Danio rerio: one gene and its partners. The protein of the gene in region 3 purifies or fractionates together with the protein of the main gene of each other region. This does not show direct contact. Links are inferred from orthologs where the notes say so. Each region holds a gene or a part of one and is shown on either strand. Other genes may lie near its edges.

What was found.
Region 1: the proteins of pfdn4 (region 3) and pdrg1 purify together in Homo sapiens (co-immunoprecipitation; 3 studies listed by BioGRID and IntAct, counting the BioPlex papers as one, with this or other methods). This does not show direct contact. The link is inferred for Danio rerio from reciprocal best matches to the Homo sapiens genes PFDN4 and PDRG1.
Region 2: the proteins of pfdn4 (region 3) and pfdn5 purify together in Homo sapiens (affinity purification with mass spectrometry; 5 studies listed by BioGRID and IntAct, counting the BioPlex papers as one, with this or other methods). This does not show direct contact. The link is inferred for Danio rerio from reciprocal best matches to the Homo sapiens genes PFDN4 and PFDN5.

Annotation. Positions count from the first base shown.
Region 1 is NC_133186.1:392,380-396,471, reverse strand, and holds the start of pdrg1 (p53 and DNA damage-regulated protein 1), read right to left. Parts: upstream 2,815-4,092; 5' UTR 2,780-2,814; coding exon 2,696-2,779; intron 2,611-2,695; coding exon 2,538-2,610; intron 1,223-2,537; coding exon 1,148-1,222; intron 1,054-1,147; coding exon 973-1,053; intron 1-972. UniProt on the Homo sapiens protein: May play a role in chaperone-mediated protein folding.
Region 2 is NC_133181.1:42,215,173-42,219,250, forward strand, and holds the start of pfdn5 (prefoldin subunit 5), read right to left. Parts: upstream 2,815-4,078; 5' UTR 2,809-2,814; coding exon 2,743-2,808; intron 1,705-2,742; coding exon 1,602-1,704; intron 1,526-1,601; coding exon 1,494-1,525; intron 1,362-1,493; coding exon 1,287-1,361; intron 1,203-1,286; coding exon 1,097-1,202; intron 1-1,096. UniProt on the Homo sapiens protein: Binds specifically to cytosolic chaperonin (c-CPN) and transfers target proteins to it. Binds to nascent polypeptide chain and promotes folding in an environment in which there are many competing pathways for nonnative proteins.
Region 3 is NC_133198.1:41,423,373-41,427,464, forward strand, and holds the start of pfdn4 (prefoldin subunit 4), read right to left. Parts: upstream 2,817-4,092; 5' UTR 2,551-2,816; coding exon 2,524-2,550; exon of another isoform or gene 2,520-2,523; intron 561-2,519; coding exon 453-560; intron 378-452; coding exon 237-377; exon of another isoform or gene 1-236. UniProt on the Homo sapiens protein: Binds specifically to cytosolic chaperonin (c-CPN) and transfers target proteins to it. Binds to nascent polypeptide chain and promotes folding in an environment in which there are many competing pathways for nonnative proteins.

The sequences.
Region 1 (4,092 bases), on a different chromosome or scaffold from region 3:
TATATATATATATATATATATAGTCACACTTTACTATAAGGTTTATTAGTTAATGTTAATTAATGCATTTACTAACATAAACAAACAATACATTTACTACTGTATTTGTTCATGTTAGTTAACGTTAGTTAATGAAAATACAGTAGTTCATTGTTAGTTCATGTTAACTCATGGTGCATTAACTAATGTTAACAAGCATGGATTTGAATGTTAATAATGCATTAGTAAATGTTCAATAATGATTAATAAATGCTGTACATGTGTTGTTCATGATTAGTTCATGTTAGTAAATGCATTAACTAATGAACCTTATTGTAAAGTGTAGCCATAAATTTAAATATCTATGTAACAAAATAGTTTTGTAGTTTTGTTTACATGTATGCAAGTATCATAAATATATAATAAATATAAATATAATACACACACGGGCGAAGCAGTGGCGCAGTAGGTAGTGCTGTCGCCTCACAGCAAGAAGGTCGCTGGGCCGAACCTCGGCTCAGCTGGCGTTTCTGTGTGGAGTTTGCATGTTCTCCCTGCGTTCGCGTGGGTTTCCTCTGGGCGCTCCGGTTTCCCCCACAGTCCAAACACATGCGGTACAGGTGAATTGGGTAGGCTAAATTCTCCGCAGTGTATGATTGTGTGTGTGAATGTGTGTGGATGTTTCCCAGAGATGGAAGGGCATCCGCTGCGTAAAAACTTGCTGGGTAAGTTGTCGGTTCATTCCACTGTGGCGACCATGGAATAATAAAGAGACTAAGCCGACAAGAAAATGAATGAATGAATATTACACACAAACATCACAAATAAACTTTTATTTTGGATGTGGTTAATCTTTGTCCAGCACTAATATAAATGCTTTTTAAGTACATAAAAATACTAAGACGCAGACTAAATAACACGTCTTGTCTTCGGCACAGATGTTTACACCATTTATAAGTATGACTGAGCAAGAGACTGATGAAGCAGCTCTACCTTGTAGCTCATTGAGACGGTTCACTTTCGCTTTCAGTCGTGTGCGGAGGTCTGTTATTTCCTTATCAAGCTGCTCTTGGTCTGTCAGGAACAGTAGAACAGCTCATTTATTAAACACAGTGGCACATGTGAAGGGTTATTCACACAAAAGCACAGCTGAAAAAGACACACTCACCTTTCAGGATCATTGATCTGGTGCTTTCTTGAGGGAATTTGATGAACATATTTCCAAAACACACCTTTACATTATCTAGATTAGATCGGATTCAATTTTATTGTCATGTGCAGAGACAAACTTCAAATGAGAACCAGCATTAGGCAAACAAAATAAGATTACAGAGCAAATGGCATCATCTATTAGTTTTGCTCTTTGTAGAAGAAATCTGTGTTTATTTTGTTCTGAACATCTTCTTATGTAAAATACAATATGTGTTTATTGAGGTAAAGTTTGTTTTATACACACACATTCATTCATTTCAACAGTGTCAGCTTGTGACTCCCTCTCTATAATGTTTATTATGCTACTTTGAATATTTGGTCAGAAATGGCATGTAAATATGACTTCAAAACAACATCCGCTCTATTGAGCTGACTGTGAACAATACTGGACTGTGATAGTCATTGGCTGCTAATATGATTTCACTATTTATAATTAACAGTTTTCTGAATTTATATTAGGGCGACATGATGGCTCAGTGGTTAGCACTGTGGCCTGACAGCAAGAAGGTCTCTGGTTTGAGTCCCAGCTGGGTCAGTTGGTGTTTCTATGTGGAGTTTGCATGTTCTCCCTGTGTTGACTTGGGTTTCCTCCCTGGTGCTCCGGTTTCCCCCACAGTCCAGACACATGCGCTATAGGGGAACTGATCAACTACACTGGCCATAGTGTATGAGTGTGTGAATGAGTATGTATGGGTGTTTCCCAGTGATGGATTGCAGCTAGAAGGGTATCCGCTGTGTAAAGCATGTGCTGGAATAGTTGGAAAACTTAGTTCATTCCACTGTGGCGACCCCTAATGACTAAAGGGACTGAGCCCAAATGTGCCAAAAAAAAAAAAACTTTGTAAATATAAAAAAGTTGTGTGTTTTCAGTGGTTGGAGTCATGATAACTTACTTTTCTTTGTTTGAATATCCCTAATATTACATATATAATACAATCATATTAAATATTAGTAAATTATTAGATTTTGGATACCCATAGGATGATTTTTTAAACCCATATTCACAAAAAAAGGTGCAAAAATTCAAGCCATAAAAACTAAAATGACAACATAGTGAACTGAACTGATAAATCATGAGTAAAACAAGTTAATTAAACATTCTAGGGTAAATTACAAAAAATAAACCTGTAGTAAACATACCGGGGTGTTACATTAGGTGTGGTTATAAGCTTAATAACCCTATTACTGACACATTATAAATGAAATATTTATTACTTTGGAAGATACGTGTACTTATATATGTGCTTTATACGTAGTACAAGTTTTATACGCATGACACTGCATCCAACACCAAGCATATGTGCCATTAATGCATTATAAACCAGTATTCTGTAGTCTGTACTCGCCGTTTGGTGAGTTGTTTCTTAACGCGCTGAGAGCTTCTCGGTTTCTGTTTCTCCGCACATCCAGATCCACAATCTGTCACATGTCAACCACTTCAATAAACACCACATATAAAACAGAAATTACCCGATAATTGACTGCTCCTATAACTCAATCGCACCTGTTGTTTGTCGGTGAGTATGTCTTCTGCAGCAACCTCTACCTCAGTCAGATGCTCCAGTACCCGCTGCGCGCTTTCGTCCATGCTGAACTGTGCGTGTGTTATGCGCTAGACGAAATAAGTCCGACTGAGAGTGGAAACAAGTTGTGCTGTATTTTCGTTCCGGCTCACAGCGACCATCAGCTCCGACTTCAGATGTGAGATCCACAACGAGGAAAACAAACCTGATATTCGTAAAGTAAAGTAAAAAACTCTTCAGGAAAAAAAATGACTCAAAAACGCAGCAATAAGAAAACTGCTAAAACGTAACAGGAAATGCTAACTAAATAAATGTTCAACTATGGTTCAGTTTTATAAATAATTATTAATAATTATTGTCAAAACTGTCTGTATAGATGGACGTTTGCTGCTGACAAAATAAATTAAATTAAAATTAATTAAAATTAAAAAATAACATTAATAAACCGGTGAGGCGGTGGCGCAGTAGGTAGCACTGTCGCCTTACAGCAAGAAGGTCTCTGGTTCGAGCCTCGGCTGGGTCAGTTGGTGTTTCTGTGTGGAGTTTGCACGTTCTCCCCGGGTTGGTGTGGGTTCCCTCTGGGTGCTCCGGTTTCCCCCACAGTCCAAACACATGCGCTTATAGGGGAATTGGGTAGGCTAAATTGTCCGTAGTGTATGTGTGGGAATGAGTGTGTATGGGTGTTTCCCAGAGATGGGTTGCAGCTGGAAGGGCATCTTCTGTGAAAAACATATGCTGGATAAGTTGGCAGTTCATTCCGCTGTGGTGACCCCTGATTAATAAAGGGACTAAGCTGAAAAAGAAAATGAATGAATGAATGTTAATGAACCTATTAATAATCTGCATGTGTTGTGCTCAGCAGTAACTGGCAGCAGATAGTGTTTGTAAGAAAATAATCTTTTGTTTAAAATATCTGGACATACTCTGGATGTGGCTCTTGCATGTTCGAGTAACTCCTCCCATGTCAAGAGGATTGCAAAGAGCTTAAAACTGTATTTATGATCATCACAATCACCGTATGAGTCAGGCAGAGAATGAGGAAAATAACAAGTTACACACAATGTGAGATGATGGCTGCTTCTCAGTGGGATGGAGGAGCCGGGGCTAATCATGAGCAGACTCAACACTTCAAATCTTCATTTCTGAATAAATACATCACAGTATATTTATCTTCATTCACAATACAAATATAAATAAATGCATAATATTATTGTTATCGCAATATTAGTATTTGCAATATACATTCTTTTTCATTGATTGTTTATCTAAATTAGATCAATCAGATGGGGCCATAATATCTTTAGTCGCGCCTCCCCAGTAGTGGCTGTTCTGTTATTGGCTGGAGTGTCCTGAACCCAGAGCTGAAAATAAACACTTA
Region 2 (4,078 bases), on a different chromosome or scaffold from region 3:
ATAAGTTACTATAATTTAAGAAATATATAGATAAATAAAACTTATGCAATCTGCACTCCGAAATAAGTACAAAGACTGCCACCTGGTGGTTCAAAGAGAAAATGTATTGATATGAACTTTTTAAATACAATGCAAATGCACAATATTCAACTTTTTTAAAAAAAGGATACTGATTTATGCAGTCATGCACATGTTGTGATCGCCAATATGCCGGTGATATGTTGCTTCACAAAAGTTGCAGACACCTTCACCTTTATCAAAATGCTTTTTTGATGGAAAATTAATTCATACAGTTATTCCTTACTCCAATTAAAAAAAACTTGAGTAGGCCTAAGCTACTATAATAAAGAAAATCTTCTCTAAATGTAGAACTAAATACATTGATATGCTTTAAAATACATAATGAATACTCTTGACACATGAAAGTGTTAAGCCTGCAGCTCACAACAAACCGTTTACTGCTTGTTTGATGTAATTTTGCTCACATGGATAATTGAATATTATTCAGATGATGTCATTACGCTGCTGTGCCGTCAGCCAATCGTTGCATTGCTGATCATGATTTCGAGGATCGATGGATCTGTCCTTCACAACACATGCAGCGATCTCAGATCAGTTTATCCAGACATTCTAATCGGATTCGCAAACTTGTTTGAAGAACCAAATTAGCCAGAGATCAGTTATCAAGATGAAAAGATCCAGGATCTGCCAAATCATCTTATATCATTTAAGCGAGGTACGAAGAACGGACCCCAGATCTATTTTCAGTTGTTAGACACCCACATGAAAATATACGACAGTAATCTATAGTAAATAAAATTGTGATTTTTAACCATACTGACATCTCCAATAGATAGAGATGTTGCACAAACACCTAAAATATTGCCAGAATTGGTCTTTATGTATGTGTGATTTATATTGCATCACCAAAAATGATTGAGGTCATGTCCATGTGTTGTACGCTCAGTCGTTATATTGATTATTGTGACAGGCTTACTTGAAAATAGTGAAAAAAGAAATACAATAAAAATGTACTGTATTTTTATCAGCTATGGTGAACATAAGAAACATGTTTTTCAAAAGACAAGAAAATCACCTTGTTTCATGGCATATTTTTCTTGAAGAGCAGGCTGAATCTTTTCAATTTGTTTAGTAAGGAAGTCGATTTTGCGTTTAAAGAACTCTTTGCCGTCCTCTACATTCTGAAAAGACAGAAAAGGCAATGTGATTTACTCAGTTTTGACATTTTTACATATACTAAAACTACTAGACTGATTCTTACTCACCTTCTCCACAAAATAACCTGTTCCCACATCCACTAACACATGATCCACATCATGCAGCTTTCCAGGTACATACATCTACATGACTGAGGTTAAGGGAATAACGGACCACTGCAAATTAATTACACACACATCAAACTGTCTGTGTGACTTTCTTATGTGGCATAAATCAATCAGAACTCATTTATAACTCAGCTGTTTAGAGGATACAGAACTGGTGAGAGGGACGAGTAGTTCTTTACCTGAGAGAAAAAGTAAAAAAAAATTAGCAAACGTCAGATTTAGCTAAAAACGTCATAAAAGAGTTTTAAAAGTCACCTTCATTGCTCTTGTTAAGCACATTCAAACTGTCTTTGGCCTCCACATATTTTGTTTGGACGACTTTCAGCTGAGCTATAGACGATGACAGGAACTCTGTTTCCTAGAAAACACATTTTTAAGCAATTTATACAAAATAACGTGTAAATCTACCTTGAGATGTCCCTTTTTGGTGTCTCAAAGTAAATTAACATTATTGCATTTATATTCACAGAAAGCACACTGAACGCAAGCAAAGTGTTAACTTAAATGTTTCAAATAACTTTTGTAAAAATAAAATCAAAAAATGAGTGAAAATCTATCAAATAATTAACAATAATAATAATTTAGGAAATAATGTCAGGGTAATTCAGAGCAACATATATATTTATTTAAAAATGGGAAAAACATAGTACTTATTCTGTACTAGGTATGGGGCGATAACTGTTTGCAAGGTAAACCGGCAAGGTTTGGAATAGTCAAGGTTTTAAACCTTAAAAGTAAAAATTAGTAAAATAAAGGGTTTGAAGGATAGTGACAAATTATGCATGTTTAAAAAAAGAAAAATAATTAGAATTTGGGAGCTACAGTTCAACCTTTAAATAGTTAAATGCCATCAAAATAATCTTGGTCTAAAAATATGGCTGCCCAGAATTTTTAATATATATAAACTATTGTTATGACATTTTTGTTGGGGTCTTCTGTAAAATACAGTAAAATAAATATGACGGTCAAAATAAAACAGATAATCAGGACACATGTAAACTTCAAAAGTTTACTCACAGAAAAACAAAATTAGTCTTTTAAATTAATCTTATACAGATTATAGACTTGGTACCAAAATATATTTCAAACTGTGAACTCGTTAAAATAAAACCAAGTTGTGTTTAGTGAGAACTGACTGAGACACCATTCACATACAATGCAAGTGAACGTCGATAAAGTCATTCTGCATCTCATTTTCTGTCATACGGAATAAATGCAGCCATGTGGACAATCATAGAGGGCTTTTTTTCCGCATTACCAGCAGCAGCAGCACGCGCACAGACAGCATGACAACCGCAGCCCGTCAGTAAATTAATTCACTGACAGAAAAACAGCAGCACCTGATGCTACTCGGACATACGAAACGATGATGTTTTTTATTTTTAACACAATTTACCTGATCAAGCTGAGTTTTCAAGCCTTCTAATTGTGGAAGAGACAATTCAGTGAGATTCACCGCCATGTTGACAATAAAAGAGGGTGAGGAAAACTTCCGGGTCAAGCGGACGCAACTAAAAGGACTTTTACCATTGATTTTTTTCCATTACACACTACAGTCATTTGTTATACTTTAACAAATAAAACGTCGACTAAATAAACTAACAGTGCATTTATACAGCATGTATTAACATTACCTTAAAAAAAAAGGGAGATGACCAGCTAAAACCAGCTTGACCAGCCTAGCCAAGCTGGGAGTCCAGCCAAAACCAGCTATATCCAGCTTAAACCAGGCTGGGCAAGCTGGTTTTAGTTGGATTTGGCTGGTCATTTTCCAGCCTGACCAGCTAAGACCAGGCTGGAAATGGCTGGAAACTAGCCTGGAAATGGCCAAAACCCCTCTAAAACCAGGCTGGTCAACTGATTTTTCAGTAGGGAATGTATTTGATTAGTATGTAAACATGAGTAAATCCTTATTAATCAATTAACAAACTATTCATTGTCAATGCATGTGGTGCACAAATTTCAACTATTTTAAGCCTCATTGTTAAGTATTAGAATAGGTTTGTATTTCAGTAGACATTGAACACTAAAAATACACACCAGTTAAAAAGTGAAGAAAATGTACACAGCTCAAATCCTTATAAAGCTCATGGGCATTCATTAATGTTTGTGTGTGTATGTGTGTGTTTGCCTTTATGTGTTTGGTATTGTCCTGAGTTTTCTCCAACAGGAGTAGTGTGTATTTTACAAAAGCAGAAAATCTCATCTGAAACACTAACTCATGACAGGAAGTCCGTAACACTTGTTTAAATTAATATTTCATTTTTTCAGATTCACCATTAAACCTGGCCGTTCAGCACATAAGAATCACATCAGATCAGGTACGTCAGATATTTGTACGTCTCTGAAAACGCTGTCCCTGACATTTTGAAGACTTATGGGAACACCGATTTCAGTGTTTACAGTCCTTGTTGCCTGTCGGTTTATCCATCAGTCTGCAGTGACAGATGACCAATTCATGTTTTTCCTCCATGTGTACTCCTTTACTAGCACATCCCTCATTTCAGTTAACCCCTGTGTGCTGTTGAGGGTGTTTTCATCCACTCTGGGGTGATTTTGTGTCTTCATTTGGTCAACTTTTTCTGTTTCAACTAGCAGAACGACTTTGGCGACAAATTTAATTTTGACACGTTTTTGGAAAATGCTTTGACATTTTTAAAGAACTTAACGATACACTCTGGGCAATTTTGCTACCCTTTTGTTATGTTTGGGATGAAAACCTCCACTAATTT
Region 3 (4,092 bases):
CATCTGTATTTACCATTGTCCACTTATAATCGTACTAACGCATTTTAACGAATGTAAACAAAGCGCCTGTGTTTAAACCTAACAATTTATTGTAACTTTTTTGACCTAGATTTGCAACTTTTTTTTTCAAGTCAAAAGCGTTTTAAATTTTTGTAATGGCCCACAATGACATTCCACAGTTTTTCCTGTATATTGTATTGAGTGCCCTATAAAGTGTGTAAAAAAAATAAAGTCACCTTTGCTGCCTCCAGCATCTCCTGCGTCTCTTCTTGCGAGTGACTGATAAACACGTCTCCAATCTGATACGGGATCAGCATCGAATCATCCTCACACATCATGAGGTCATCACTGGCATCCTCTAAGTTCTGTAAAGATTTCTACGCACAATAAAGATTATGCGTCAGTAAAATGCAGCTTATATCCTGTATAAATCAAAAGCATCACAATATTACCTTTTTGGCCTCGATTTCATCTTTCAGTTCAGACATCCGATTTGTGTTCCTGGCAAACTTGTTTATCTTTTGCTGGTCCTCAAATGTTACATTGACATCCTCTGCTGCCTGTTCAGAATCAGAATCAGAGCTTTATTGCCAGGTATGTTCATACATGCGAGGAGTTTATTTTCGTGACAGAAGCTTTTACAGTGCAACAGAATGAGAGAGACAGGACAAAAAACAGATAATAAATATATTTTAAAAATAGAAGTAAACTCAAGTTATGATTCAAGCAGTAGTTTTGATTAAACATTGTGCATTACTTATTATGGTTTGATTTAATTTAAATTAATTCTGGTGTTATTGCATGATGACGTAGTAAAATCTCTGTTAAATGTCAATGTACGATCTTTGGCCCCACATATTACCCAGTGTGCAAGAAGTCTCGGTGTTATGTTTGATGAAAATTTTAAATTAAAGAAAATTTAAGAATTAAAAAGAGATCAGTCCTGTCGTAAAAACCTGATTTTACCACCTTAACAACTGTCTAAAATGAAGCCATTATTATCTCAGAGAAATTTTCAAACAATGATCCATGCCTTCATAACACTGGATTACTGTAACTCACTCTATTTTGGTATTTCTCAGTCTTCTCTCTCTTGTCTGCAGCTGGTACAAAATGCAGCTGCTAGACTAATCTCTGGCACCCGCAAGTATGAGTCGGTAACTCCGATTTTAGCTGCACTTCACTAGTTACCCATTAAATACAGAATTGATTTTAAAATTTTATTATTTGTTTACAAAGCTGTCAATAGTCTTGCTCCTCAGTACCTTACAGACTTGCTCCATCCGTATACCTCCTCTCGATCATTGAGATCTTATGATCTCAATTAACTTACGTAACCAGAACATGCCTTAAAAAACAAGGTGATTGAACATTTGCAGTTGCTGGTTCTAAACTCTGGAACACCCCACCAATTCACATTAGACTTTCCCCCTCTATTTCTGTGTTTAAGTCTGTTTTGAACACCTATTTTCTCTCGCTTTAATACTCCTTGATCAATGTTTTATTGTTTTATTTTCTAAATGCTTCTTTTATATTCTGATTTCGTCTCTGTGTTTAGTACTCCTATGTACAGCCCTTGGGTCCACCTTGGTTGTTTTTAAATGTGCTTTATAAAGATGCGAACATTAAAAATGACAGGATACTCAAAAATGCTTTTCAAAAATGTAGTTGCTATGTTAACCAACACAGGCATCAGAAATCTTCATTTAAATAGGAATTCATGTCATTGTTTTGACTCCTTTACACATTTTTATAAGCGTTTCACAAGCTCTCAAATTATGAAGTTACCATCACATGGACACACACAAACACTCAGCATTGTTTTGGATGTTCGGTAAGCTCTGTCAAAAAATATGCCTTGCTAAATATGCATATTATTTGCATTTCTTTGTATCTTTAGATTTACTTTTAAAATTTTACAATATAAATGCTAAGCAAATCATAAATCTTTGATTTGAATCCTGTCATCTTGACTCTTTGTGGTTTAGACTCGATGTGATTTACACAAATATAAGTTTGCTTAGCATTTTATACATTTAAAAAAAGCTTTTTTATGTAAACTAAACTCTATATAAAAGAACAAAATAAACAACCCAATATACAAGTTGTTAATCTGGTCAATCTATAAGAAATATTTAAGAATGACAATACAATTATGTGATTTAAAACCACCTAAATTTAAATGTAGATAGATAGATAGATAGATAGATAGATAGATAGATAGATAGATAGATAGATAGATAGATAGATAGATAGATAGATAGATAGATAGATAGATAGATTGGTGCAGAACGATGAACGTAAATGTAAATAATTACAATAAAACTCATTAACAGACAGGCACGAATAATATGACGTTAGCCATCCAAGCCGGTGAAAATAAACAATAAACCGTCCTCAGTTTCCCTCAGCTGTCTCTTTCGTTTAATATTTTAGATATTTCAGCATCACCAACGCGTTTCTCAGGGATGAGCAACAAAACAACGTGAATGTAGACAGAAAGCCGATAATGGGAACACATACCACTCCTTTCTTCATGGTGGCTGCCATCTTGAACGGGAAGCGAGCTGCGTGCACGCGCCTGAACGGCGTCTGAATGGAGCACGTGGATGTTTGAGTGTTTGTTGCGTGTTTCGGTTGCTGCTTCGAAAATATGGTACGTTTGACAAAGAAATTATGAAGTTTTATGTTTGAATCTAAATTACTGGCTTAACTAAATGCGTTTTGAAGTCGGTTTTCTTAAAATTATCCGCTGTTGCAAGGATTTTGGGCTGCAGCCATACAGACTTGAGGATTTTAGTTAGCAACACTTACTGACATCTTCTGGACAACCGTAGATTTACTCCCACACAAACATACTTTTGATGATTTAAATGTCGAATTCGCATGTTATATCATATATATGGGTGTTTACATTGGAAATGGAAGTGTAAAATGCGTTTTTTCCTTATTTTGTTTCGTTTTCTATTAAATATATAATATTAACATTAAAGTATGTTTAATATAGATAACGTTAGCTGTTTACTTAAGAAACAACGTTGTCTTGGCAATAAGTCTTTGAGAAGCTTTTCTTGGAAGAAAAATCTAAATGAAGCGAGTTTTTAGTTAAAAGCAAAAATAACTAATAGTTGTCTCTAAAGCAATGGATGGCCAAACTTTTCGTATAAAGGGCCAAAAATCAAATACCGTCACGCGCCATGAATATGTATGAACAAATATACCAAACTATATTACATTTAAATTGACTTGGATAATTAATTTCCTAATTCATTTTATAATATTTTAAAATAAATAGAAAACATCACTTTAAATCCTATTAACTAATGCAGAATAACATTTTAATTGATAATTTATTGCAATAAAAATTAACAATCTCTTTAGAAGTTCAATGCTGAATACTCTAGTCACTAGTCTTTGACTTGATTTGCTCACCTAAGTCTCTACATTATCAGATGACAATGTGTACATTTAAACAAAATCTGATTTAATTTACACAATTTAATTGAAACACTTAATTTCAATTAGCTTTTAACAATAAAAACTAGCAAAGGGCTACATTAAATTTAAACTGACAACCTCAAAACCATCCCCATCATTCTCCATCTCTTCTCAGATGGGATGACGGGACAAATCAAAGCTTAACATGTTCTAACTTTGGCCCACATTCCCTAGTTTTTGCATCTCTGCTATAAAGTAAATAATTATCCTAATTCTTATTTGAAATAACTATAATTTTAAAGGCTAGGTTATTTTTTGAAACTTAAACTCACAAAATTTTTAAACAGTACACGGCCAACTTAATAACAAACTATGCAATTGAGGAATATTTAATAGCCTATTTATAAAGGAATTATGAGAAATCATGGGTTGAATTAAAATGTACTTTTTTGTCCCTTTATATCTAGATTTATCCATGTCTAAGAACAAATAAATTTTTATACAGTTGAGATCAGAATTATTAGCCCCCCTTTGATTTTTTTTTATTTTTATTTTTTTTTTATTTTCCAAATGATGTTTAACAGAGCAAAGAAATTTTCACAGTATGTCTGATAATATTTTTTCTTCTGGAGAAAGTCTTATTTGTTTTATTTT